Sus scrofa: one gene and its partners. The protein of the gene in region 1 purifies or fractionates together with the protein of each later gene. This does not show direct contact. Links are inferred from orthologs where the notes say so. Each region holds a gene or a part of one and is shown on either strand. Other genes may lie near its edges. The genes, in order: SRRM1, SRSF4, CDC5L, RBM25, SRSF6, SRSF5 and EIF4A3.

Region 1 (3,500 bases):
AATGCCAGATCCTTAACCCACTGAGCCACGATGGACTTCAAAAGGAGGCACAAAATAAGTGGTAGTGGTTATTTCATAGTCCATGCTCAATACTCTAGACATCCATTAATTTGCAGTATGTCTAATCCTATTATATTAAATTCTATAATCTTGTTGGTCAAGATTGGACTATGTAGAAAATTTAGGAAAAAAACAGGGAAAAATATCCATGAATCTATTATGTTGGGAGAAAATAGCTTGGCATTTTTGCTGTTTTCTCTGGTGTTTGAAAGGTTTTAGGATAGTTATGATCAGGCAGTAAGTTTTGATCTTAGATCATGTCCATCAGTATGATTCCATTTTTATAAAGGACAGAGTTCCCACTGTGATGCAGTGAGATTGGCGGTGTCTCTGCAGCACCAGGACAAAGGTTCAATTCCTGGCCCAGCACAGTGGTTAAAAGATCTGGCATTGCCAGTTGTCACAACTGTGGCTCAGATGTGATCCTGGGAACTTAATATGTCGTGGGGCAGCCAAAAAAAAAAGAAGACCCTTTTTATAAAGGAAAGGTATGTCGCAAGAGGGATACCAACAGTGGTTACATGTTAGGAGAATGATGAGTGATTTTAATTTTTCTTCTTCACATTTTAAGGCTCTGATTTTTCCTAACATGGAAATAAATTATTTCTTTCATAAAAAGAATCTTGCAGCTTATGAAATACTAGCTGGAATGGGAAGTACTTTATTGTCCCATGTAAGTCTTTGGCAAGCTAAGTAAATAAGAATGACATGTTTGTTTCTACATTGTCATGTTTAAATATCATTGGGATATTAAAATATCAGCTTAAGTTGTTTTCCTTTCTTTGTGAGTCATTAATCATGGCAGGTTCCATGTATTGTGTAAAATCAATGGTTAGTTGTTCATCTTAATAGGGTTGAATTATTGTGCAAACTAACTGAAAGGGTTGAGGAATTTTAAGTAATTGCTTAGAAATGTGAGATTTAAAAATTACAGACCTGGGGTTCCTGTTGTGGCGCAGTGGAAACAAATCCGACTAGGAACCTTGAGGTTGCGGGTTCGATCCCTGGCCTCGCTCAGTAAGGATCTGGCATTGCTGTGAGCTGTGGTGTGGGTCGCAGGTGCAGCTCACATCCTGGGTTGCTTTGGCTGTGGTGTAGGCTGGTAGCTGTAGCCCCGATTGGATCCCTAGCCTGGGAACCTCCATATGCCGTGGGTGCAGCCCTAAAAAGCAAAAAAAAAAAAGATTAAAAAAAAAAAAGATAAAAATTACAGGCTAGGTTTAATTATAGCAGAGCCTACCCTTTGCATGAACTTGGAATACATATATAATGAAGAATAAACCACCTGCATTCTAGAGATAGATCAGATGGTGATTAGAGATGTGGCTTTCACACAACCTTGTATTTAGGATAATAGTTACTTATTAAAAGCCTACATGTTGTGCTGGTATTATGGGTAATTTAAATATATTCCTATTTAATTCTCATAACAGCTCTGTCAAGGATTATTATAGCTATTTTGGGTTGACAGGCCTCAGAACAAGTGAAGCAATTTATCTGAGGGCAAATAGTTTAATAGCTTCAGAAATCAGAATTTAACTGAGACCTTGTCGAGTTTTCTTCCTTCTGTTGTACATGGTGCTTTTACATCTGAGGTTAGACCCTGCCTCATGTCAGACTTGGGCTACCTTGTGGTTAGGAGACATGGTTTAATGTGAAGTAAGTTCAGGATATTTTTTTAAATATCATTTACTTTCAAGGTCCATTTCAACTCTTAGAAGTCTTTGATTTCAGCAATAGTTCCCGTCTTTAGGAATACTTTTCTTAGTGGAGGTTAGCCCTGGGCTGTCTTTCCCCGTGAAGCAGTATGAAATCCTGAGATTAGTCCAGTTGGTTATTCCCCTGAGGAAATGAAATGTTTAATTGGATGGAATTCTAATCATGTTGATGGTATTTCTTTTGTTTTTCTGGGATTTCTAGAATTCAGACCCAGAAGGAGGTGGAAAGAAAAAGAAAAAAAAGAAGGATAAGAAACATAAAAAGGATAAGAAGCACAAGAAGCATAAAAAACACAAGAAGGAAAAGGCTGTGGCTGCAGCCGCTGCAGCTGCTGTGACCCCTACAGCCATTGCTGCTCCCACAACCACATCAGCACAGGAAGAACCGGAGGCAGAGCCAGAGCCTAAGAAGGTGCTTATGGATACTGTCTTAATTTTATACAAATTGCTAAATTAATTCAGTTTGGAGAAGTAGCTCAGTAATTTTTTTCTGGTAATTGGATGTCCAGCTGTTCGGTTCTCTTCTGACTCATTTCTCCATGACCACCTGCCAAGAACTAGAATTTGCTAAGGCTTCAGATAAGAATAAAAATGGCAGGAGTTCCTATTGTGGTTCATTTAGCAAGTTAAGAACCTGACTCATATTCATGAAGATAAGGGTTTGATCCTTGGCCTCACTCATTGGGTTAAGGATCTGACCTTGCTGCAAGCTGTGATGTAGGTAACAGACATGGCCTGGATATGGTGTTGCTGTAGGCTGGCTGCTGCAGCTCCAGTTCGACCCCTAGCCTGGGAACTTCTATGTGCCACAGGCCTAAAGACACCCCCCTCCCCCACAAAAAGAATTTTGGTCTTTATCAGAGAAAAGTGAGTTTACAAACTAACGTCAAAAAATAAGATGTCAGGGAGTTCCTGTCATGGCTCAGTGGTTAATGAATCCGACTAGGAACCATGAGGTTGTGGGTTCGATCCCTGGCCTTGCTCAGTGGGTTAAGGATCCGGCGTTGCCGTGAGCTGTGGTGTGGGTTGCAGATGCGGCTCAGATCCCGCGTTGCTGTGGCTCTGGTGTAGGCCGGTGGCTACAGCTCCGATTCAATCCCTAGCCTGGGAACCTCCATATGCTTCGGGAGTGGCCCTAGAAAAGGCAAAAAGACCAAAAAAAAAAAAAAAAAAGTCAGATATTGATCTGTATCAACCATTGCTTGGTTGCTGATAGGCAGGTTATACCTGTTCTTTTTTGGGGGGCTGCGCCTGTGGCATATGGAAGTTCCTAGGCCAGGGATCACATCTGAGCCGCAGTTGCTACATATGCCACAGATATGGCCCTAGAAAGGGAGGGGGAAATACAAAAGGCCTTATGTATATTTCTAAAAAGAGCTTTGAGATAATTAAATATAAATACACCATATAATTCACCCATTTAAAGTATATAATTAAATGATTTCTTTTTAGTATATCCATAGAGTTGTGCAGCCATCGTGACAGTATTATTCTTCTCTGTACTCAGCATTTTCCACCAGTATCTCAAGGTTTGATGATACAACTTTTCTGTTTTTTTTAGGAGACTGAAAGTGAGGCCGAAGATAACCTTGATGACTTAGAAAAGCACCTGCGCGAAAAGGCCCTGAGATCAATGCGGAAGGCTCAAGTGTCCCCACAGTCCTAGGTGGAAATGTTTGTTATGATGTAAATTTTATTTGGTTTGTACGCAATTCAATTTCA
Region 2 (4,061 bases), about 3.7 Mb from region 1:
TTGATGTTTGATAATGTGATGATGAGATGGAGAAACAGATACTTATGGAAAATCGAGCAAATCTATCAAAACTGCCCTCCCACACCCTTTGATCCAACTATCTTATCTCTAGGAATAGATCCTACATATATATATGTATACAAAACTACTCACTGAAGCAGTTATAACCAAAGGTTTGAATCTATTTCAATGTCCTTTCCTAGGCACTGATTACACAAATCAGTGTATAAAATGGCATATTATAAACCATAAAAATAATCCTGAGGAAGCTCCTTTTGTACTCTTACAGAATGAGTTTCAAATTATATTAAATGCAGAACCATACGTGTGGTACACCACAAGTTGCTTTACATGTGTAAAATACCTCAAAGAACATTTACGAAATTGATTATATTGTGTGGGCCTCTCAGGGAGTGGAGGGTGGGGAACTAGGCTGCCAGAGGACAGAGATGGGAAGACTTTTCACTGTATATCATTTGAACCAGTTAATGAATTACCTTTCAAAATATAATTTCTGAAGTAAATAAAAACAGCAAAGAAACAAAACTCCTTTGTGATTCTAGATAAACTGGGTAGGAGAGAAGGGAACCAATATTTACTGAGCTCCTACCACGTCCCAGATACTGAAGCCCTTCCACATACTCTCTTAGTTACCCTGGTAGTCCACTGAGATGGGATAAATTATTCTAATTTTACAAGTCAGAAAATAGATTAAATTGGTAATTTAATAATTTAGCCAGTGACAAGCCTAATCTAGCTCCAAAGTTCTAGTCTCTACTTTGCACACTGCTTCCACTGAAGCAAACTGTCCTATTTTTAAAATAATATTGCTATTATTTATTGGGCACTTACGAGGTGCTAGGAACAACTCTGGAAGGCTGGAATTACTAATCCCCCTTTTACAGAGAAGACGAAGCCGAAAGGCGCGTAATGAGCTCAAGGTCACAGACAATTAGAAGCCAGGTTTAATTCCAAATCTGCTCTAGAGTCGATACAGCTCCGGGTTCAAGGGACAAAAGCAGCAATGCTCTCAGGGCTGGAAGGAGGGGGACGTGGACACTTCCGGGGGAGGGGCGAAGCCCGCGGGCTGCGCCAAGCGGCGCAGGCCCCTCGCGCCAAGCTCGCGAGAGGATGTACCCCCGCGCCGCCTGTCGATCACCTGGTCCCGCCCTGCGCCGGCGCGCCTCCGGACAGGCCCCGCCTCCACCTCCGGCAGGGCGGGAAGAAGGCGCGTTCCCCCCCCCGTTACTCTCCGCGGGCGGGCGGGGGAGGCGCGTGCTCGCGAGCTGCGTGCTCGCGTACGTCGCCGGGTTCGGCTGCGTCCGTCCCGCCGCCCGCCCGTTGCCGCCGCCGTCGCCGCGCTCTCGCTTCGCCGGCCGCCGCCTAAGGGGCTGGGGCCGGGCCAAGCCGCCGCCGCAGTTGCCGGGATGCCGCGGGTGTACATCGGCCGCCTGAGCTATCAGGCCCGGGAGCGCGATGTGGAGCGCTTCTTTAAGGGCTACGGGAAGATCCTAGAGGTGGATCTGAAGAACGGGTGAGGAGGGCGGAGGAGGGGCTGGCTGGGTGGGGATGGGACCCTGGCGGTGGCGGGGAGGCCTCGGTGACGGGAGAGGGACGCCTACCCCGCGCAGAGCGCCTACCGGCCTGCTCCCGCTCCGCCATAGTCGCGGCGCCTCGGGGGCGCGGGTAGGCCCCGGTTCCCACTGCGCCTGCGCGGGTGGGGGTGGTGGAGGGATAATGGGAGCGATGGTGAGGCTCTGAGTGGGACGGGGAAAAGGAAAACCCGAGTGGGATTGGGACTCCGGGCGGGAGGGCACAGCTCCAGGACAGCTGGGGAGGCCTGGCTTTTTCCTTCCCAGGGCCTGGTCGATCTCCGGTAGAGACAGACCTTTCCCGCTCTAAGGGCTGCTGGAAATAAACAGATTTCCTGCTCCCTTTTCATTTCTTACCCAGTTTAATGGATCAGATGATCACAGCGCATTTCTCCCAGGGACGGGAGCTCTGAAGGGACACCCTTTTTAGACTTGCCCTGTGCTACACTTTTTTGAGCGGGAGACTCTGGTTTGAGTAGTCTAGTGACAGTTTCGAAAGTATCGGCGTGTGTGGTGCCGAAAGCCTTCACCGTTCCCTCTACAAGGATAAATTAGAGTCTTAGCATGCTATCTTTAAGACTGCGTACGAAGTTTCCATGCTGTGGTTTCCGTTCTCTAACTTGGCAAAAAAATTGCTTTGTCTTTGTAGAATTTGTTAGAGAATAATGGCCCCGGTAACTAGTTAACTAGTTGATGTAAACGGAGACTTACAGCTTGAAACTGCTAACTTGCTACCTATCCGGGTGTGTTCTGTTGCTTGTATTCCTAATTGACTTTGGTAGAGCAGGGCCCACAGGGGCTACAAGTTTCTGGGAAAACAGATTAGGAGTCAGGCCTGGAGAAGATAATCAACAAGGGGAAACTGTGAGAACCAGAAAATGTTAGCGGGTATACAAAGGCATGGATATACAAAAATAAAAGGAGTAAGGGGGACATTTTAGTGTACTAAACCTTGGGTGTTAAGAGGAACTCTGGCTTTTTTTTTTTTTTTTTTTTTAAGACCTGCTTTGCAACAAGTTTGTTATGGGTACAGTTTACTCCCAATGTAATGCTAGCAACTAACATTTGAGAAGTTAAGAAAAATACCTGAGTTGCACATTTGAAAAAAACTGGAAGCTACAGTATACTCAAACTGTTGCCTAGGTTTAAAAAGTTATTTCAAATTAATTGTTAGGCAGAATCACCTTCTTGCTAAGGAAAGTGTCATCAAGTGTTTATTATGAATACTGATTTCTTTTAGAGTAGAAGTCTTCGGAAATTACTTGTTTTGTACGGAAATTACTTGTTTCAGTTCTTATACTAGATAAAGTGGGCCGGAGGTTGTTATTGTGATATGTATCATATATCTGAATGATCGAGAATGGAGTTTAAACTTACAGATTTTCTTTAGAGCCCAATTAAGTTGTCGGGATAATTAAATTTGGTAAGGAAAGCTTAGGTTTTGAAATCAGGCAGGCCTGGGTCAAATCTTAGCTTCACCACTTACTATCTGTGGGCCAGTTATTTCTCTGATTCTGAGTTTCCTCATCCACAAGGAAAAGGAAGATTAGAGGTAATAATTGTAAAGCATTTGGCTCATTGCTGTAAATGGTAGCTATAATCAAAGGGATTTGACCATGATCATAAGGAGACACATCTTAGCTTGTTGAGTGTTTAATAGTGTGAAGCATATTTGGTGAAGTCTGTTTTCTAAGGTTCCTCAGGTAATGATTGAAGTCTGTTTTCTAAGGTTACTTAGGAAATGATTGTTGATGTTAATGGGAAAAGTAATTAATGGATCATCTGTGTTGCTAACGAATGTGCCTGCTATTGTGCTAAATGAATTGGGGAGGAGGCAGAAAAACAGTTCTGCTCTTGTGTAAATTAAGTGCTTATAACACACACTTTAAATTAAGAAATTCTTGCCCTCAGTGTAAACTCAGTAAGTGGAACTTAGAATAGTTTGTTTGAAAAGATTTGTTTGAAATGGGCTTTGAAGTACAGTTTGACTGGGGCTTGAAGCGAAGTGTCTGGGAATAGTGTATGTCATAACTGGTGATGGTCGAATAAGGAACAATTTTGAGAAACAATAAAACAGTCCAGCTTGGATTGAGTCTCATGAATGACCTAGAAGCTGAACAACATAAATCAGAAGTAACTTTTAAGATTTTACACTAAACATTCAAAATTATGGATAGGAGTTCAGATGCTCTGGAGGGAGTAATTGAGCAACCTGAGAAATGGTGATGTAAGAGGAAGGACCAATCCTTCCAGGACCCTGAATACGTGGGTCTCTTGGGGAAGTGATTCATTTTTACAGTTCTGCTGCTAAACCATGATATGCATGAAATCTGTGATTGAAAGTCAAGAGAATAAGGAATGGGAAGGCATTTTAGGGATTTGAAGGCAGGTGTGACAGTCACCAAAACAGGTGCACCTCCTAGCAGCATTCAGACATTATTGAAGAGGAAGATGACTTTTGAACAAGGG
Region 3 (3,500 bases), on another chromosome or scaffold:
CGCAGTGAGTTAAGAATCTGGTGTCGGAGTTCCTGTCGTGGCTCAGTGGTTAACGAATCCAACTAGGAACCATGAGGTTGCGGGTTCCATCCCTGGCCTCTCTCAGAGGGTCAAGGATCCGGCGTTGCCGTGAGCTGTGGTGTAGATCGCAGACACCGTTTGGATCTGGTGTTGCTGGGGCTCTGGCACAGGCTGGCAGCCTACAACTCCCATTAGACCCCTAGCTTGGGAACCTCCATATGCCGTGGGTGCAGCCCTAGAAAAAACAAAAAACAAAACAAAAAAAAGAATCTGATGTCACTATAGCAGCTCAGGTCGCTGCTGTGGCACGGGTTCGATCCCCGGCTGGGGAACTGCCACATGCTGTGGGTGTGGCCAAAAAAAAAAGAGTCAGAGGAACTATAATCTAGTTAGTGCGGTGTGTGCCGCTTATTAGCTGTTTGACTTTTAGGCAAGTCATGTAATCTTGCTGAACTTTGATTCTCATTCCTGTCAGATGGAGAGTAATAATCTATCTTACTTCACAGGGCTATTGTGAAGCATTCAGTGAATATTTGTTGAGTTTTTAATTTAAAAGTTTGAAGGTAGTGGTTCCCAAAGGCAGATTGTAGTTAGGCTGGTTGCGTCATTGTCACAGGATAAACTTTAAAAAATAGAGGTGGCAGGGCCTCCTCAGGAGATCTGAATCAGTAACTTGGGAAGAAGCGAGGATAATCCTGAAATCTGAGGGTTTTTTTTTTTTAAGATTCCCTTGTGATTTCAATTGATACCCTTATATAGAAATTACCCTAAGGTATCAGTAATGAAATATATTATTCTTTGGGGACCCATGGAAAAATGTAGTGGAGGAAAACAATAGTCTTGAGGGAGAAAAATGAAGGAAAAATGATAATGAAGATTATCAATTCCTTTATAATTAAATAGTAGTTTTTCCAGGTTTTTTTTTTTTTTTTTTTTTTTTTTTTTTTTTTTTGTCTTTTTGCCATTTTTTGGGCCGCTCCCGGGGCAGCTAGGGGTCGAATCGCAGCTGTAGGCTGCCAGCCTATGCCAGAGCCCCAGCAGTGCAGGATCCAAGCCGTGTCTGCGACCTACACCACAGCTCATGGCAACGCCGGATCGTTAACCCACTGAGCAAGGGCAGGGATCGAACCCGCAACCTCATGGTTCCTAGTCAGATTCATTAACCACTGTGCCGCCATGGGAACTCCAGTTTTTCACAATTCGTTTTGTGCCAGGTAGTTGGTGATAATGAAGGATATGATAATTACGGCCACTATAATGACTTCTTGCTTGATGAATACCTGTTTCATTTTACTTATTTTTTCTCAACGTCCTGATGAAGTAGGCATTTGTTATTTATTTATTTATTTATGAAGTAGGCTTTTTTTTTTTTTTTCCCACTGTACAGCAAGGGGGTCAGGTTATCTTTACATGTATACATTGCAATTACAGTTTTTCCCCCACTCTTTCTTCTGTTGCAACAGAAGTAGGCATTTTTTATTCTCATCTTGTAAATGGTGAAACATGCTCAGGGAGGGTAAATACATTATCTAGGGTCACATAACTAGCACGTGGTGGGCCTGGTTTTTAACTTAGGTTTCTCTGACTTCAAAACCCAAACTGTTTCCTTTATGCTATACCTTATAAGGATTATATTTATGATTTTTCTCATCTTAAGCCCTAGGTTCTGTCTCTTGCATACTTTGCTTCTGTTGGAGAAGTTAGTTTTTCTTCTCTTTATTTTTGCAGATGAACTCGAGATGCTTTCTGAAGCTAGAGCCCGCCTGGCTAATACTCAGGGAAAGAAAGCCAAGAGGAAAGCACGAGAGAAACAGTTGGAAGAGGCAAGGTATGGTTGCTTCCATCCATAGTTGAACAATTAGGCTGTGTATCCTTAGGCTCAGTAAAATTGCATGATTTATCAACCTCATTAGGTGAGTGATAAGTAGAATTGTTCACTTCCAGTTTTCTAATAGTCTTTAGTGTCTTTGTTACTTTGGAAGCCTTAAATATTTTCTCCTAACCATTTCAGAATAGTTATAGAAACAATATGTATTTTAAAAAAGTTTTGTAAAATGTGGCAGAAGCAGTGCCCAGATACAGACATGCATTTATGTGCAGGTGTACACGCGCGTGCATGGGCACTCTCTCTCTCTCAGTGTGTTTAATTAATTTTGTTAGCATAAAATAGCTTCATTTGTTCTAGCCTCTTGGCCTCAGATGCCTAGAGGACACACAGGGCTCTGGGACTTTGGCGCGACTGCCAGGGAGTTACTCTCCTTGATTAGTGTTGGACAGGCACTGACACCAGCTGTGAAACAGGAAACTCGGCTGAACACAGAGGGAGTTAATGAGCCCTGAACTGGATTTTAGGCTGTCATAGAAATTTCTATTTAAAAAATGAGTGGAGTTACATTTTGCCCTCGACTCAAGGTTGTCTCCATTTTCCCCTTCCTTTTGATTAGATCTATGATTGACATTATGCCTAATGGCCTAGAAACCAAGGTGAAGTGGATAAAGAGAAAACCTGAACTTTCTAAGAGCTTATTAGCTTTGGAATTCAGGCAGGAATAACCTTCAACTCCAGAATTTCTATTTGGTTCTTTTTAATCATTTCTATCTTTCACCGATTTTCTCTTTTTAATGAATGTTTTCAACCTACCTTCCTTCTTTAATCATGGCTTCCTTTTATTCTTTGAACATACTTCTGCCCCTTTGAAGTCTTGTCTGTTAAATCTGACATCTGGTTGCTCTCAGGTGTTGCCTCCTTGTTTTCTGGTGTGTGGGTCATACTTTCCTGCTGTTTCTTTGCATGTCTTACCTTTTTTTTTTGGGAACTGGATGCTTTGGATGCTCCATCGTAGGAATTCTGTGTACGTGTCCCCCGCATCCCCTCTTGGTTAGTGTTATTTCTAGTTTACTTGTTTTGCGACCAGCAGGGTTATTTTAGTGAAGTCTGTCCTCCCCTTCCCTCCTCCCACAATGGGAATCCTCTGATCTTGCTCCTTGTGGGGATGGTCTTGGGTGTGACCAGTCACTTGGGATGATGTGGTTTTGATAGGACTTTCTTTGACATCTTTCCCCTTGGCTATGCACAGCTGTTAAACTCTGCTAATTGTCAGCTTATTGCTGTATTGTTTTCAACAATATCTTGGGGCATAAGTTGCTCCACAAAGTGATCCCTTCATTGGCTCCTTTGAAGGGATTGTTTCTGAGGTGAAGGTTTGATATTTGTTCTGACCCCGGAAGGGCTTCCCCCACTTTTCAAAAGAGAAAGAGTCTCTCTGGCAAACTAGTGGGTCTGCAGTTTAGCCAGTATCACCAGTGAATGAATCTATCAGTTTCTTCCCAACTGCCTTTCACCATAGCTTCCACTGTTTTTTTTTTTTTTTTTGTCTCCCCATGGCATGTGGAGTTCCCTGCCGGGGTTCAGATCCAAGCCACAGTTGAGACTTACAGTGCAGCTGAGGCAGTGCCACATCCTTAACCCACTATGCTGG
Region 4 (3,500 bases), on another chromosome or scaffold:
ACCTGCACAGTTCAAACCTCTGTTGTTCAAGGGTTAGCTGTAGTTCTAGTTTATCCATGCAACAAGCCGAAAGGCTTTTTGCTTTAAACCTATGCAATATCTTTATTCCTTGATCACTATTAATGAAGCAGACTATCTTGCAACATGTTATCCAGGTTTTTTGTGTTTTTCTCAGACACTGATAAGCATTGAGGGAAAAAACTTTGAGTTTAGAATGCAGTTCAGAATGTGGAGATAGAATTAAATTCTCTGTCTTTCTGACTTCTACTATACTTCTACAGAAAACAAATGCTAAATTCTGGCTTGTGAGTTTGTATATTATTTCATAATATGTGTTCTCCTTTCTCTTGGTTTTTAAAGAAAGCGCAAAGGAGACTAATAGATTTTTTAAAATCTTTTGTTTATGTAGAGAAAAGAGCAGAGATCGTGAAAGGGAACGGGAGAGGGAAAGAGAGAGAGAGAGAGAACGGGAACGAGAAAGAGAACGAGAACGAGAGAGAGAGCGAGAAAGGGAACGAGAGCGTGAGAGAGAAAAAGACAAGAAGCGTGACCGAGAAGAGGATGAAGAAGATGCATATGAACGAAGGAAACTTGAAAGAAAGCTCCGGGAAAAAGAAGCTGCTTATCAGGAGGTAAACAGAGGGACTGTTTATATTCTCAAAGCTTGGTACTTAATAGGTTAGTCAAAAAGAATTTTTTTGTAGACATCTTTAAAGCTTTGACAATTTCCTTTTTTAGCGCCTTAAGAATTGGGAAATCAGAGAACGAAAGAAAACCCGGGAGTATGAGAAAGAGGCTGAAAGAGAGGAAGAAAGAAGAAGAGAAATGGTAATATTCTAGGTTAAAAAGTAAATGATTTTTCAGATATAAAAATCAGATCAATCTTTATGGTTAACTAGAAGTAACTTTATAATTTAAAGGTATGATCTCTCAGTATAGATAATTTAATTTTTATAAATTTCAAGTAAACTTGAGGGAATTTCAGTACAGCGAAATGTTTTTCTCTCCTTTTTTTTTCTTCACATTTTTGCTGCCTATAAGCTAAATTATCTTTTGGCATACTGTTAAAGTAAATCAGTCATAGAGTAGTATTTAAAATGAGAACTTACAGAACATTCTTTGATTAAGAATCTACAATATTTTTGACTTTGAAGAGGCTTTGATATCATTCTGTATTGGTGCAGTACATTTGGGTGAAGGAAAGTGTCATGAGAAGACCTTAGTTTTTAGAAGTCAAAATTGTCTTCAGTGTGTAACATTTATGAATTATTATTTTTCCTTACATTACTATGTTATCCTTCCTTTTAACTATATGATAATAAAAATGTATTTTTTTTGCATTTACACTATTTGACAAACTGTACAGTGAAGCAGTTGGCATAGGTTGTTAACTAAATAAAATGACGAAAAGATGATATATTTTATCACAGTATTTGCTTCAGTAGTATGTTCCATGTGTTCTATCTTTGCCAGAATTTCATGAAAGTTTCTTTATCTCCAGTTTGGAGATTATTCTTCCAAAAACTTCACTGAAGTTAGGAATCTTCTTCAAATAGCTTTTGAACATGAGACATAGAGGGAATTTTTGTAAGTAACCAAAAGGGTGCATGCAGCAACTAGATAGATAGTATGGGTTTTCTGGATAGTAGATCTTCAGAGCTCCTAGAGTTTTTTAAAGTAATTTTGATTTCCCTAGATTGTTGCTCCCATTCTAGAATTTCTTATTAAAACCTAGGAAATAGAGAATTATCTAGTAAGAGACATAATTATTTGAAGAAATATTTCCCATCAAAAACATGTGTTAATAGATTTGAAGTTATTCTGCATCCTACAAGCAAACCTGAAACCTACCTTTCCAGAAAAAAACATTCCTGATAGTTACTTTTTGTTCAGGAGCTTTAAAAAAAAATCCATTTAAAAAAGCAGTTACTTGCTCATTAAAAAATATTCAGGTAACTGAAGTATATGGTGTAAAAAGTAAAAGTCTCTATTTCTCATGAGTGGTAGCTTATGTCACTATTTTAGTGTGTTCCTTGTAGGCCTCCCTGTGTTTTATTTAGATATTTCTAGGTATTGTCATTGCTATCTGACAGTCTATTTGCGTTTGAAAAATTTTGAATGTACCTTATATCCTAGCCTTGTGCTAGGTACTGGGTATACAAGAAGAAATAATGCTTCAAACTTAAACAAGTGGGTAATATCATCAGAGAGATAAAGTAGTTACTGTATTGTGTGTGTGAGTGTTTAAAGTATGACGAAGGTGTGTTCACAGTATTTTGGGAGTGGAATACAGGGAAAGTGATTAATTTTGTCTGGGGGAAGGACTTGGTCAAAAGTAGGTGGTTAGATTGGAAAGTCTTTACAGAGAAGTAACATTTAATCTGGATGAAATGTGTTAATATTTCACTGTCAGATGAAGTCAGAAACCTACGTATTTGTATGTAGGTGTAATAGTTGTTAACAGAGATGTAGATTATAAATTTTTACTAATTGTTTTTTGTGTATATATATATATATATTATTGTATTTAAAATTCCAAAAATAGGAGTAAGAGATTCATGTACTTGCATGGTTTGTGTACTCAAAGCTAGGTAGGCATTACCTTTAGATGCATAAATGTGATTTAAATTTTAAATCCTGAAGTTCCCATTGTGGCTCAGCCTTAACGAACTCAACTAGTATCCATTAGGATGCAGGTTCAATCTCTGGTCCTGTGTTGCTGTGGCTGTGGTGTAGTCTGGCAGCTGCAGCTTGGATTCGACCCCAGCCCAGGGACTGCCATGTGCCACAGGTGTGGCCTTAAAAAGAAAAAAAAAATAATTTTAATCTTATATTTCATGAAAACTACTTCTTGTACCATCATCTACCTGTAAGTGAACTGTAAAATATTTTGGTCCAGTTAACAGATTGAGTTGTGATTCTTGGTGTGCTCAGGTTTCCTTAGAAAATAATTATTGCACTTTGAAAATCATATTCAGAGAGGAAATTTATTGTAGCATACTGTATGTGGCTTTCATTTCACAGATAAGTCCTAAATCTGACTTGCTTCTGGTTTTTTGTTTTGTTTTCTTATTTTGTCTTTTGAGGGCCACACCCAAGACATAGGGAAGTTTCTAGACTAGGGGTCAGTCGGAGCTGCAGCTGTCAGCCTACACCACAGCCACAGCAACACCAGATCCAAGCTGAGTCTTCGACTTACACTACAACTCATGGCAATGCCAGATCCTTCAACCCACTGAGCGAGGCCAGGGATAGAACCCAAATCCTCCTGGATGCTAGTTGGGTTTGTTACCACTGAGCCACAACGGGAACTTCCTGACTTGCTTTTGAAGGTTAAAGATTTTTAAACATCTAATGTTTATTTACATGTAAATGTATAAAGTTTATGAGTATTATAAAGTTCAAGTGGTATGGATAAGAAGAATCTATTCCCATGAAAGAGAGGGGGGTGTAGTGTAAATTGCTTTTATATTAATTTTGCACGTTTTGTCCTTCATTTC
Region 5 (4,110 bases), on another chromosome or scaffold:
CTCCCCCCGTCGTCACAACTGTCAGACCCCCTGACTTTGCCAAATGTCCCCCGGGGGGCAAAACTGCCACCTTCCAACTAGAAGCTGTAGAGTGCAAGGCTGCCTTGCTCCCGAAGCGCTGGAATATACAGAAATACGTACACAGCCAGTATTATCGCGGCAACGCCCTTTCCCCTCAGCTAGTGTGACACAACGCCCTCGGGCTCTTTTCTCCACCTCTCCAGGCACTCCTTCCCCTTACTTAAGTTCCAAGACGACGCCAGGGTCTTCTGCTCTCCACTTAAACTTTACTCCTGGTTTTCATCTAATTCGCCAGCTTTAACTGGCAACTCTAGTGGTAAACTCCAAAATGTGCGTGTTTTTGCGGTATAGATAATGGGAAGGGATCGCGTTGGGACTACGGCCTCTCCACACGGGGGAGAAAATGAGCGTACCTCTGTGGGAAGGTTGCCAGGTCTTGCTCAACTTTCTGGGCCGGAGGCCTTGGCCCGCCTCCCTTTTCCAGCACCCGCAGCGAGCCGGGGGGGTTGCCATGCACACCTCAATCTACAGGTGACTCCAGGTGACGGTGCTCCAAGAAAGACCCCCTGGAAGGACAGGTGGCCGTAAAAGGAGGCGGTGAAGTGGGACCACGAGGGATAGAAGCCAGCAGTACCGTGCGCTCCCGACCGCGTCACCACGACCTCAGAGCGCTAACTTCGGATTCTGTGGAAATAGGCAGCTAACCGTGTGGAGAACGCCTTCTACACTAGGCAGAGCGCAAGCTGAGCGATCCATAGGGGAAATTTGCAGCCTCGTTCCCAAAACCAATCAGAGACCAGGGAGGCCTATAGTGACAACCTCGATAACCAATGAAAAGAGGGATTTTCCTAGCCGGCCTCCCAAGCGCGAGTCCCGGAGAGAACTCACAGAGGAAGTTTTTTTTAAGGTACAGATTAGAAAACAAGTCCTTGACTGGACGACGGGATACGACGTCTACAAAGATGTGTGGAGAAAGTTCGGTGAGCGAATAGAACCGCACTTCCCTGAAACTTGGAGCGCGGAGGTCCCGCAAGTCACTCTCGCGCTCCGCGCTTCAGCGCGGGAGGGTACGTGCTGCGCGTTGACGTCACGCGCCGGGCCCCGCCCCTGGCCGCTCGCCCTTATAGCGTAGCCCAGGCGCGCGCGCACCATTGTGTGGCTGGACTCGGCCGCCACTGCGGTGTGAGGCGCGTGTCCGGGCTTTTGCCGTCCCCGCACCCGCACCGCGGCTTCTGCCTTGCGGTTCGTCGTTCGACAGCCAGCCCTCGGGCCCCTCGCCCGCCACGGACATGCCGCGCGTCTACATAGGACGCCTGAGCTACAACGTCCGGGAGAAGGACATCCAGCGCTTTTTCAGCGGCTATGGCCGCCTTCTCGAAATTGACCTTAAAAATGGGTGAGTCGGAGGCTGGGCGCCCGCGTCCGCCCGCAGCGCCGCGGGCCTACGGCGGCAGGGCCCATCGGAGGGAGGAGACGGCCAAGGCCGCGGTGCCGCGTGGCAGGGCCGCCAAGATGGCGGCCGCGCGGGGCCGCGGGAGCGCGCGAGGAGCGGGAGCAGCGCGCGTGCGCGCCCCCGGCCTAACGACGTCCGCCGGTCTCCGGCCCTCGCGCCGCCCTCAGGTACGGCTTCGTGGAGTTCGAGGACTCCCGCGACGCCGACGACGCCGTTTACGAGCTGAACGGCAAGGAGCTCTGCGGCGAGCGCGTGATCGTGGAGCACGCCCGGGGCCCGCGCCGCGATCGCGACGGCTACAGCTACGGAAGCCGCAGTGAGTCCCACCCCCGCGCGCTCCGTGTCCTTGGGACCCCGGGGGCGGGTGCAGGCTTAGGGGGGCGGGGTGGGGCCTCCCAGCCGGGCAGGCGCGTTGGCCCGGGTCGCTTGACTCGGGTGTCCCCGGGGCCCGCTGCCTTCACGCCTGCCCGGGAAAGCCACGGGACGCCGGAGCGCGGGGATTGGGTGGTGGGTTTTGCCTAGCGGGAGTTTGTGTGTTTGGGGGCGGGAGTTGCTTAGTCGGGAGGGGGTAACGTGTGCTGGGCCCCTGTCAGCACTGTCGTGGGCTCTGCCTACGGAGGAAGCGAGGGTTGGCTGTACTTGTATCTCCCTCGCTTACCTGTCAGTGCATTAGGTAGAAATGTGAATGATTTAGCATGGAGGTTTGGGGACAGGCTGGGGTGGAGGTGGGGTTGGGGGCGGGGGAAGGGGTGGAGTTTGAAGCTTAGGACTTAAAGTTATTAAAATTGGCAGGGGCCAAAGAAAATGTTATTTTGACGTAATGTGGTATTGTACCACAAAGTAGATCTAAATGAGCTTTATGCTATATTTGAACTAGTTGGGGCATGTTATGGGGAGGAGGTGGGGGGATTTTGGTTATGTTAAATGTTTGATGTTGAAATTGTTGCATGTTGAATTCAAACTTTTTAACAAGTCCTTGATGTTTCAATTTGAAAGTGACCAATGGGGCTGAGGCTGTGTCCACTGAGGCTAAGATGACTGCCTTTCCTGATTGGCCTTGGCTTTTCCATACATTGTGTGACCCTTGCCCTATGACCCTTTGGCTGACCTTACCGGAAGCCATGACGACAGCAGCCTTTTGCCATTAGACGCAGGGTGATGGTGAGGATTCCGAGGGTTAGACAAAACTGGTTAATCTGAACTAGGTGACTGTTACCTTGCGTGTTTTGTGGCCAAACCACCACCAAAAACCTCACACTGTGATGTAAGTACTTAGTGTAACTAGTAAACATTTTTGTAAAATGTAGAAATGCATGTAATCAGTTAAGTTTTATATTTTACAATGTTCTGTAAAATAAAACTTAGCGAGGTAAATTGAATAAAGGAGCAGTCACTCTCTAACAGATTGTAGGAGAAGTTTAGTTGGATTTAGTCTATTTGACTTGCCCTTAATTTAATTTATGGCAAATCACAACTGTATCGAAGGTTTAGCAATATAATAGCAAAGTCCTACTCCAGTAAATAAAAGTTAATATGTTTGTACTAACTTTCAAAAACTATGCATCCCTATCATTACAAAACACCTAATTGTTCTCTTCATGTGATAAAGGTGGTGGAGGTGGATACAGCAGTCGGAGAACCTCTGGCAGAGACAAATACGGACCACCTGTACGCACAGAATTCAGGCTTATTGTAGAAAATCTTTCTAGTCGTTGCAGTTGGCAGGATTTAAAGGTAAGTGCTATAACTTAAAGGTGGTATGACTAATGTTTAGAAGGTAGGCTTTTGTATTGCTCTTTCATTTCTGAGAATCAAATATAGCACATAGATCTTTTTTCCTTTAGATTTCTGAGTCTGACCGGTCTTACTGCTCTTTTAGGATTTCATGAGGCAAGCAGGTGAAGTAACCTATGCGGATGCTCACAAAGAACGCACAAACGAAGGCGTCATTGAGTTTCGCTCCTACTCTGACATGAAGCGTGCTTTAGATAAGCTGGATGGTACAGAAATCAATGGGAGAAATATCAGACTCATTGAAGATAAACCGCGAACAAGCCATAGGCGGTCTTACTCTGGAAGCAGATCAAGGTAACTTGTTGAAGGGTATGGAGGGGGGGAATATTAGTTTCTTTTGGTACACCGTATTGGAAGTTGTACAAATATTCATGTCGAGATGTCTTGGGATGAAGATTTATCCTATTTCCTGTTACATGTAGGTCACGATCTAGAAGAAGGTCACGAAGTAGGAGTCGTAGGAGTAGCCGCAGTAGATCTCGAAGTATCTCGAAAAGTCGCTCCCGGTAAATGTGTCCTTGAGTGTTTTTCTGAATAACATACTTTGTTTCATAGAGCACTTGGGTGTCCTGGCGAGATATTGAGCAATCTGGCTTTTCTTGTCTAGATCCAGGTCTCGGAGCAAAGGTCGATCACGTTCCCGTTCAAAGGGCAGAAAATCTAGATCAAAAAGCAAGTCTAAGGCCAAGTCTGATCGGGGATCCCGTTCACGCTCTCGAAGCAGATCAAAGGATGAGTATGAGAAATCTCGAAGCAGGTCTCGTTCTCGATCTCGTTCCCCCAAAGAAAATGGAAAAGGTGATGTAAAGTCAAAATCTAGATCAAGGAGCCAGTCTCGTTCC
Region 6 (2,632 bases), on another chromosome or scaffold:
AGATGGAGAACCTCTAGCAGTTTTCATTACTAAACTGTTTTTAACACAGACTGTCACATGTTTGTCTCAGGACTAAAAGACAAACATGGGACAGCCCCTTAGTGCATTCAAGGGCAATGATTTAAAAAAAAATTCATGTGATGTTTTCTGACCATCAAAATTATATTACAACCTTTAAGATACATGTTAACTTACAATTGCTCCCCAAATCATCCTTTTAGCTGAGAGCCTAAGTAATCTCAGGCCAATAAAGTCAGGTGATAAAAGGAGGTAAAACACACAAGGGAAACTGTCATAGACGGTTAGTCGTCATTGTTTTAAATAGCACACACTTCTTCGCCCATCTCTTCACTACCTTGGAAACATCAAAGGTACTATTTGAATTAAAAAAAAAAAAAAAAACACACATCACCTACTGCAGCAAGGGATTCTCTAGTGTCAAATGTGCATGGGGAAGGAGTGGGTAGCCACTTTACTTCCTTTAGACAAACAGACAAAAACAATTTTTAGAATCTTTTATTATCAATAACAAACAGCTGCCTTTAACGACTTTGCTAGGCAGCTGTTAAAGGGTGGATGGACACCCTTGACCCTAACAAGGAAAACTCAAATTAAGCCTTTATGTACAAGCAAATTTAGAGCTCTTTTAAGTGTCCAAAGCTATTAATTAGTCTTTAAACTAAATCTTAACATATTTGAATAACCAGGAACTAAAACGTTCAAATTTTTTCTAGTACAAAAAAATTAAATTTGCTTTAGTTATAAAAGAGCTCTGTGAATATACACAAACTATATATACTTCAGACATTCACAAAAATGTGAGCAGAAGGCTTATCAAAAGACATTTAATACAATTAAGTTTTCAACAACCCCTTGGTGGTCCACATCTACAAAGATAGCCAGCCCAGCCCAGCCCAACCCAACCCCCCTCCAAATCCCACCCCCACAGAAAAGCACATACTTACCAGAGTTTTTAGCAAGTATGGTTTGGGAATTTGTTTTTTGTTTTTGTTTTATAAAAAAAAAAGGCCCCCAGGGCAAGTTATTTACAGTTTAATTGCCACTGTCAACTGATCTGGACCTTGACCGGGACCGGGACCTGGACCTCTGGCGATCTACAGATGCTGGAGACTTAGATCTACTTGAAGAACCACGTTTCTGGCTCTTCTCAGGCACAGGAGACCTACTAACAGAACGGGACTTGCTCCGGCTCCGGCTCCGGCTCCTAGACCGGCTGTAAGACTTGCTCCTCCGGGAACGAGATCGGCTACGAGACCTTGAGGAACTCCTGGTCCGAGAACGAGACCTGCTTCGTGACCTACTAGGAAGGAAAAAAAATTAAAGAAAAACCAAAAAGCTTAAGTAACAGACCCTACAAATCCATTAAACTCCGACTTGAAAATATTAAAGAGGTACCTGTGCCTTTTGCTGCCTTCAATTAATTTGATTTTTCTCCCATTTATTTCTTTTCCAGAAAGTTTTTCAATAGCATTCTTTAAATCACCATAAGAGGCAAACTCAACTACCCTACAAAAAAAAAAAGCCATTTATAAAGTTATATACTTCTTGCAGTCTCATAAACTATGTAATCCATCTGGTTTAAGTATCTTTTCAATGTTCATCCTGCTACTGCTACACTGAGTCTTACCCTTGACAGATAACGCAGCATGAGAATGTGATTTCCCAACCACCAAACCACTGACCATTTTAAGCTAGATCATTCTTTGGTGTGGGAAGCTTTGCTGTGCATTGTATTTATTTAGTAACATCTGTGATTCTACCCAAAAGACCTTCAGGACCAGCAGGACCTTCAATTGGTTATGATAACCAAAATGTCTCCAGACATTGCCACATGTACCCCGAAGATCAAACTCAATCCCAATTGAGAATTGCTGCTGTATTCGAGCATGTCCAAATTTTGAGCACTCAAACATTGACAGTGAAAACTGTCCTATTAAGGATATTTTAATAGGCTCTTATACTCCAGTGCATACTCACCCTTCATTTAACTTAGGTCTATGTGCATCCGCAAATGTTACTTCCCCAGCTTGTCTCATGAAATCTTTGAGATCCTTAACATAAGACAATTTTGTTAAGCCAGGAAAAGGAATCGTGACACACAAACAACCACAAGGTATAAAAACAAGACTACTGAAAGAGAAGATGTTAGATAAAGTACAAACATGGTATTTACCACACTTGTATTCTATCAGAATTCAAAAATAATATGTCAGGGCACGAAATAAGCAAATAGCATATTGCTTTTAAGCAAAATGCCAGAGAATTCAGATTTTAACATTAAAATAGTATTAGTCTATACTGAGCTCAATACAAAAGGAAAAAACAAAACAAAACAAAAAAGAACAAAACAAAAAGAAACAGTACATATTTTTAAAGTAAAGACTAAAGCAGAAATTTTATATTTAAAAACAGAACATTAACAAGACACCAGTTATTTTGTGCCCCATATGTCATTAAAAAAGTTTACTTTACCTTTATTATTATTTCCCTAGGCTAGTCAAGCAGCAAACCATTAAGCGGTCGGAGAAACGTTCATGACATATGCCCGACTGGCTCTTCGCCACCCACTTGAAGGACACTACCCAATCGATGGAAGCCTTTAATCGCACAG
Region 7 (4,252 bases), on another chromosome or scaffold:
TGGCTGAATGCAAGGCCAGGGCTGGTCACGGCGACGGAAGGAGAAGCGCAAAGGCGCTGCTGTGCTGAGCAGCCCGGCCCGGGCCCGGCTCCCGCAGACTCACTGTGCAATGACATCTCTCCCCTTGATGATCTGCTTAATAGCTCGCTGCTGGATTGCCGAAGGCTTTTCAAAACCTGTAAATTAGAGCAGAAAACAATTAGTTCTAACCGCTAGGACAGCATGCTTACAACCAGACGCTGGGGCTCCTCGAGGGCAAGGATGGGCTCTCTTTCTTCCTTTCTCTTTCGGCTGCCCCTCGGCATATGGAGTTCGTGGGTATGTGATCAAATCTGAGCCACAGCTGTGACCTACACCACCGCTGTGGCAACACCAGTTACTTTCACCCACTGTGCCAGGCAGGGACTGAACCTACATCCTGGTGCTGCAGATATGCCACTGATCCCGTTGCACCACAGAAGGAACTCCAAGGATGGTATGTTTTTTAAAAAAAAAAAAAACCCTCCTGATGCAATGTCCAACATACTGAGCTCTCAAAAAACAGCTGTTGAACAAAGCAGGATTTGTGGACTTTTGTGGATTTTTTTTTTTAGGGCCACACCTGCAGCATATGGAGGTTCCCAGGCTAAGGGTCGAACGGGAGCTGTGGCTGCTGGCCTGAGCCACAGCCACAGCAACTTGGGATCTGAGCCACGTCTGCAACCTCCACCACAGCTCCCGAAACGCCGGATCCTTAATCCACTGAGCCAGGCCAGGGACTGAACCCACAATTTCATGGATACTAGTCGAGTTTGTTAACCACTGAGCAAGGGAACTCCAGTGGATTTTCTTTATAGTAACATATGATCTTATTTATACAGACAAAATCTCTGAGGAACATTGTTGCAAACAGAGACCCTAGTTAGGTTTAAAAAAAAAAAAAGTTAACAGGTGGTTACTGCTGGAGAACAGGGGGAGGGAAGCTCACATCTTACTTCCATTACTACTGCATTGTTTGACTTCATTACAATAACCTGCATTGTTGGGGGTGTTTTGGCATCACTTGTTAAATTAAATAACCCATCACAGTCAGTCACTACTCCCTATCAGCAGTAAGTCTTTGGGTAGGTGACATCATCTAAAAACGAATGTCACCTACGCCTCCCGCCCTGGATGCCCTCCTGCCCTGGATGCGGCTGCGTGAACTGCAACCCCTCTACTGTCTGAGTAAACAAAACTTCATGTACAAATAATGGACATGAAATAATTCTCATAGTCTTTTAAAATGTAGTAAACTTCCCACTTAACACAAAAGCCAATCTAATGTGATTTAAACCCCTCATGATGACGCAGCAGGTGTTTCAGGGAAGGGAGGCCCTAGATCCCAAGAGGCAGGTGGGCTGTGAGCCTCACTACAAGGCTTAGTTGCTATAGTTCACCTCCCGTTCCCTCAGCACCTTCTCTGCACTAAACTGTCCTGACTCAAGGACTGCTGGATAAAAAAGATGCCCCAGTCCCAGGCATTAAGCACGGATGCTGCTCATTCCGGAGAGTAGCCCCAACCCCGCCTCTTCCGAGGCTCCCAGCTAGGACAACTGATGGCTCACAGGTCCCTCAAGCTCCCCTCATTCAAGAAGTGCTCCCACCATTACTCCCTGCCTGAGCAGAGGGCAGCATCACCGGTCCCATCAGCCACACACCTAGGATTTTCCTCTGCTGCTTACATCCATCTCCACCAGAAAACCATCATCTCTCCCCCGGACTGGAACAAAAAGCCTCCTAGCATCTCCCTGCTTGCTCTCCCGCCTCACCTCCACCCACATCAGACACCCCAATTCACTTCTAACTAAATATGGTCCTGTCGCTTCCTTGCATGAGACCCTCCAATGGCCTCCCCCACTGCACTCAGAAATAAAATGCACTCTCTTTATCACCCCAGACTTCACTCTTCAAGATGTGGCCCCCTCCTCCCTCCCCACAGGGAGGACAGGAGATTCTGTTCCTGGAATGTCCCCGGCTCCGGGCTGCAGGACCTGGCACCAGCTGCCCCCTCTGCCCAATTCTAACATAACCTTCTCATAACGGGCTCCTTAGCTGAGTCTCAGTTCAAATGCCAGGCCCTACTGGCAGCCACCTTGCCTATTTGCTCTACTAGTTTAACTCTCTCCTCCGCGCAGCTTGAACCAATTATCCCGCTTAATTTTCTCCGTAGCCATTACCATCGATTATACAGTCCTCCTCCCAAATGTAACTTAAACTAAGGCTTAAGCTAACTTAACTAAGGGCACGAACCTGTCTGGTTCCCTACTAAGCCCCGAGTACCTAGAGCCGCGCACCTGGCCGATACAAGACAGTTATCCGCTGAATGAATGACTCCCAAGTGCCCAAAGGACCCTGCAGCCCTCTTGGGTCCCAGCAGGGCGCGCTGCCGGGAGGACAACACCCGAACCCGCCGGCACAGATGGGGGTGGATACGCGTGGTGAGGGAAGGGGTCACCCGTGACCCACCCCGGGCTCGGCCCCAACCCGGATCCCCGACCTTCAGGACCGCCACACTCCCAGTCTCGGGACCCAGCCCTCGGCCGGGCCCATGCTCTCCGGCGGGCGCTCGCAGCCCGCGCCCCGCGCCCACCGACCGTAGGCATAGATGCCGCGCAGCAGGTCCTCCCGCAGGCCCATAGTGTCGAACGTGGGAGTCACGTCCACCTCCTCGCTGGTCTCGAATTCCACTTTGGTCATGTCTTCCTCTTTCAGCAGCCGCTTCCGCGCCGAGCCTGAGGTCGCCATCGTGGCCGTGGCCGCCATGATGCCGAGCGGGCTGAGAACCGACTGCGCGCCGCACCGGGAAGCGGAAGTAGAGCGCCGCGCCGTCGCCGCCGCCAGGAACTGACGGCATCGCGCGCGCGTGCCTGCGTAGGAGCGTGCGTCGGAGCCGCGCTCGGAAGGGGCGGGGAGCTCCTGGTCACGTGAAAGGGGAAAGGGGCGGTGCCGCAGCTCTCGAGGGGGAGGGGTTCCGCGGGATCCGCGGGCCCCGCCCCTGGCCACACCCCGCCCCTCCCCGCACCCGCGTAAGGTAGGCGCCGGGGTTCGCCCGGGTCCCTCGGCTTGGGCTCTGGGCTGGGCTGTTGCGCGGAGGGTTACCGGTTACCTGGCCGCATTACCGGTTCCTCAGCGCGGCAGGGTAGAACTGGAACTCCTGCAGACGAGCTGCGGCGTGCGCCAGGGCGCCCCTGCCGGGAGGAGGCACCCGGGTGCTGGTCCCTGCCTGCGCTCATTATCCCGTGTAAACATGGCCCCGTGGGCCATGCTTCTCTAAAACTTCAAGTGCCTCTAAAATCAAGTACCGCAAAACTGGCCTCTGAACCGATTTCATCACTTGACGGACGTTCATCTGTGTTGTGTGAGAACAGCGATAACTTTGTGAAACTTGTACTTGCCCAAGTGCCAGCTCCGTCCTTTCTCATTGTTTGCTTGGCTCCCATCCTGGGCATATCTTTAATTCACAGCCTCTTTCCAGGAGTGCTTAAACGCTTTCCTGTTGTGAAGGTTAATTCAGTGAAAACTGGGTGATCATATTATCCATTAAAATCAGGCATAAGAGTGCAGAGGTTTGCAGTTTGTTGACAGCAAACAAGTAAATGAGGTCTTTTCCTGAAGCTCTGGCCCAGACCTTAGAATATGTCCAGACTCTGCAAGAAAATTGACCTGATAAACGTGCCTGATAAGGATGCTAGTATGGGAAGTTCCCCTTGTGGCTCAGTGGGTTAAGAACCTGACTAGCATCCATGAGGACACGGTTCGATCCCTGGTCTTGCTCAGTGAGTTAAGGATCTGGCGTTGCCGTGAGCTGTGGTGTAGGTTGCAGATGTGGCTCAGAGCTGGCACAGCTGTGGCTGTGGTGTAGGCCGCCAGCTATAGCTCCAATTTGACCTCTAGCCTGAGATTTTCCGTATGCTGCATGTGTGACCCTAAGAAGCAAGAAAAAAAAAAATGCCAGTATTACTCAAACCTTAGAGTTCCAGCTGTGGCACAGAGTAAGTTGCTGCGGAGGGCATGGGTTCAGTCCCCAGCCTGTGCAGTGGATTAAAGTATCCCAGGTTGCCACAGTTGGTCACAGCTGCAGCTTGAATTTTTTTTTCTTTAAAGGGCCACACCTGCAGCATATGGAAGTTCCTAGGCTAGGGGTCAAATCGGAACTACAGCTGCCTGCCTATAGTAGCCACAGCAATTTGGGATCCAAGCTTCTGCAACCTACACCACAGCTCACAGCAAC

What was found.
Region 2: the proteins of SRRM1 (region 1) and SRSF4 purify together in Homo sapiens (affinity purification with western blotting; 3 studies listed by BioGRID and IntAct, with this or other methods). This does not show direct contact. The link is inferred for Sus scrofa from reciprocal best matches to the Homo sapiens genes SRRM1 and SRSF4.
Region 3: the proteins of SRRM1 (region 1) and CDC5L purify together in Homo sapiens (affinity purification with mass spectrometry; 4 studies listed by BioGRID and IntAct, with this or other methods). This does not show direct contact. The link is inferred for Sus scrofa from reciprocal best matches to the Homo sapiens genes SRRM1 and CDC5L.
Region 4: the proteins of SRRM1 (region 1) and RBM25 fractionate together in Homo sapiens (co-fractionation; 3 studies listed by BioGRID, with this or other methods). This does not show direct contact. The link is inferred for Sus scrofa from reciprocal best matches to the Homo sapiens genes SRRM1 and RBM25.
Region 5: the proteins of SRRM1 (region 1) and SRSF6 purify together in Homo sapiens (affinity purification with western blotting; 3 studies listed by BioGRID and IntAct, with this or other methods). This does not show direct contact. The link is inferred for Sus scrofa from reciprocal best matches to the Homo sapiens genes SRRM1 and SRSF6.
Region 6: the proteins of SRRM1 (region 1) and SRSF5 purify together in Homo sapiens (affinity purification with western blotting; 3 studies listed by BioGRID and IntAct, with this or other methods). This does not show direct contact. The link is inferred for Sus scrofa from reciprocal best matches to the Homo sapiens genes SRRM1 and SRSF5.
Region 7: the proteins of SRRM1 (region 1) and EIF4A3 purify together in Homo sapiens (affinity purification with mass spectrometry; 3 studies listed by BioGRID and IntAct, with this or other methods). This does not show direct contact. The link is inferred for Sus scrofa from reciprocal best matches to the Homo sapiens genes SRRM1 and EIF4A3.

The regions. Positions count from the first base shown.
Region 1 is NC_010448.4:82,340,192-82,343,691, forward strand, and holds part of SRRM1 (serine/arginine repetitive matrix protein 1), read left to right. Parts: intron 1-1,980; coding exon 1,981-2,190; intron 2,191-3,339; coding exon 3,340-3,444; 3' UTR 3,445-3,500. UniProt on the Homo sapiens protein: Part of pre- and post-splicing multiprotein mRNP complexes. As a component of the minor spliceosome, involved in the splicing of U12-type introns in pre-mRNAs. Involved in numerous pre-mRNA processing events.
Region 2 is NC_010448.4:86,089,970-86,094,030, reverse strand, and holds the start of SRSF4 (serine/arginine-rich splicing factor 4), read left to right. Parts: upstream 1-1,261; 5' UTR 1,262-1,427; coding exon of another isoform or gene 1,428-1,534; intron 1,535-4,061. UniProt on the Homo sapiens protein: Plays a role in alternative splice site selection during pre-mRNA splicing. Represses the splicing of MAPT/Tau exon 10.
Region 3 is NC_010449.5:39,390,897-39,394,396, forward strand, and holds part of CDC5L (cell division cycle 5-like protein), read left to right. Parts: intron 1-1,749; coding exon 1,750-1,849; intron 1,850-3,500.
Region 4 is NC_010449.5:96,451,650-96,455,149, forward strand, and holds part of RBM25 (RNA-binding protein 25), read left to right. Parts: intron 1-409; coding exon 410-632; intron 633-738; coding exon 739-828; intron 829-3,500. UniProt on the Homo sapiens protein: RNA-binding protein that acts as a regulator of alternative pre-mRNA splicing. Involved in apoptotic cell death through the regulation of the apoptotic factor BCL2L1 isoform expression.
Region 5 is NC_010459.5:46,118,302-46,122,411, forward strand, and holds the start of SRSF6 (serine/arginine-rich splicing factor 6), read left to right. Parts: upstream 1-1,310; coding exon 1,311-1,417; intron 1,418-1,641; coding exon 1,642-1,790; intron 1,791-3,083; coding exon 3,084-3,208; intron 3,209-3,353; coding exon 3,354-3,562; intron 3,563-3,690; coding exon 3,691-3,774; intron 3,775-3,875; coding exon 3,876-4,110. UniProt on the Homo sapiens protein: Plays a role in constitutive splicing and modulates the selection of alternative splice sites. Plays a role in the alternative splicing of MAPT/Tau exon 10. Binds to alternative exons of TNC pre-mRNA and promotes the expression of alternatively spliced TNC.
Region 6 is NC_010449.5:93,396,379-93,399,010, reverse strand, and holds the end of SRSF5 (serine/arginine-rich splicing factor 5), read right to left. Parts: exon of another isoform or gene 2,073-2,632; coding exon 1,999-2,072; intron 1,528-1,998; coding exon 1,417-1,527; intron 1,322-1,416; coding exon 1,054-1,321; 3' UTR 501-1,053; downstream 1-500. UniProt on the Homo sapiens protein: Plays a role in constitutive splicing and can modulate the selection of alternative splice sites.
Region 7 is NC_010454.4:2,284,227-2,288,478, reverse strand, and holds the start of EIF4A3 (eukaryotic initiation factor 4A-III), read right to left. Parts: upstream 2,801-4,252; 5' UTR 2,785-2,800; coding exon 2,616-2,784; intron 177-2,615; coding exon 104-176; intron 1-103. UniProt on the Homo sapiens protein: ATP-dependent RNA helicase. Involved in pre-mRNA splicing as component of the spliceosome. Core component of the splicing-dependent multiprotein exon junction complex (EJC) deposited at splice junctions on mRNAs.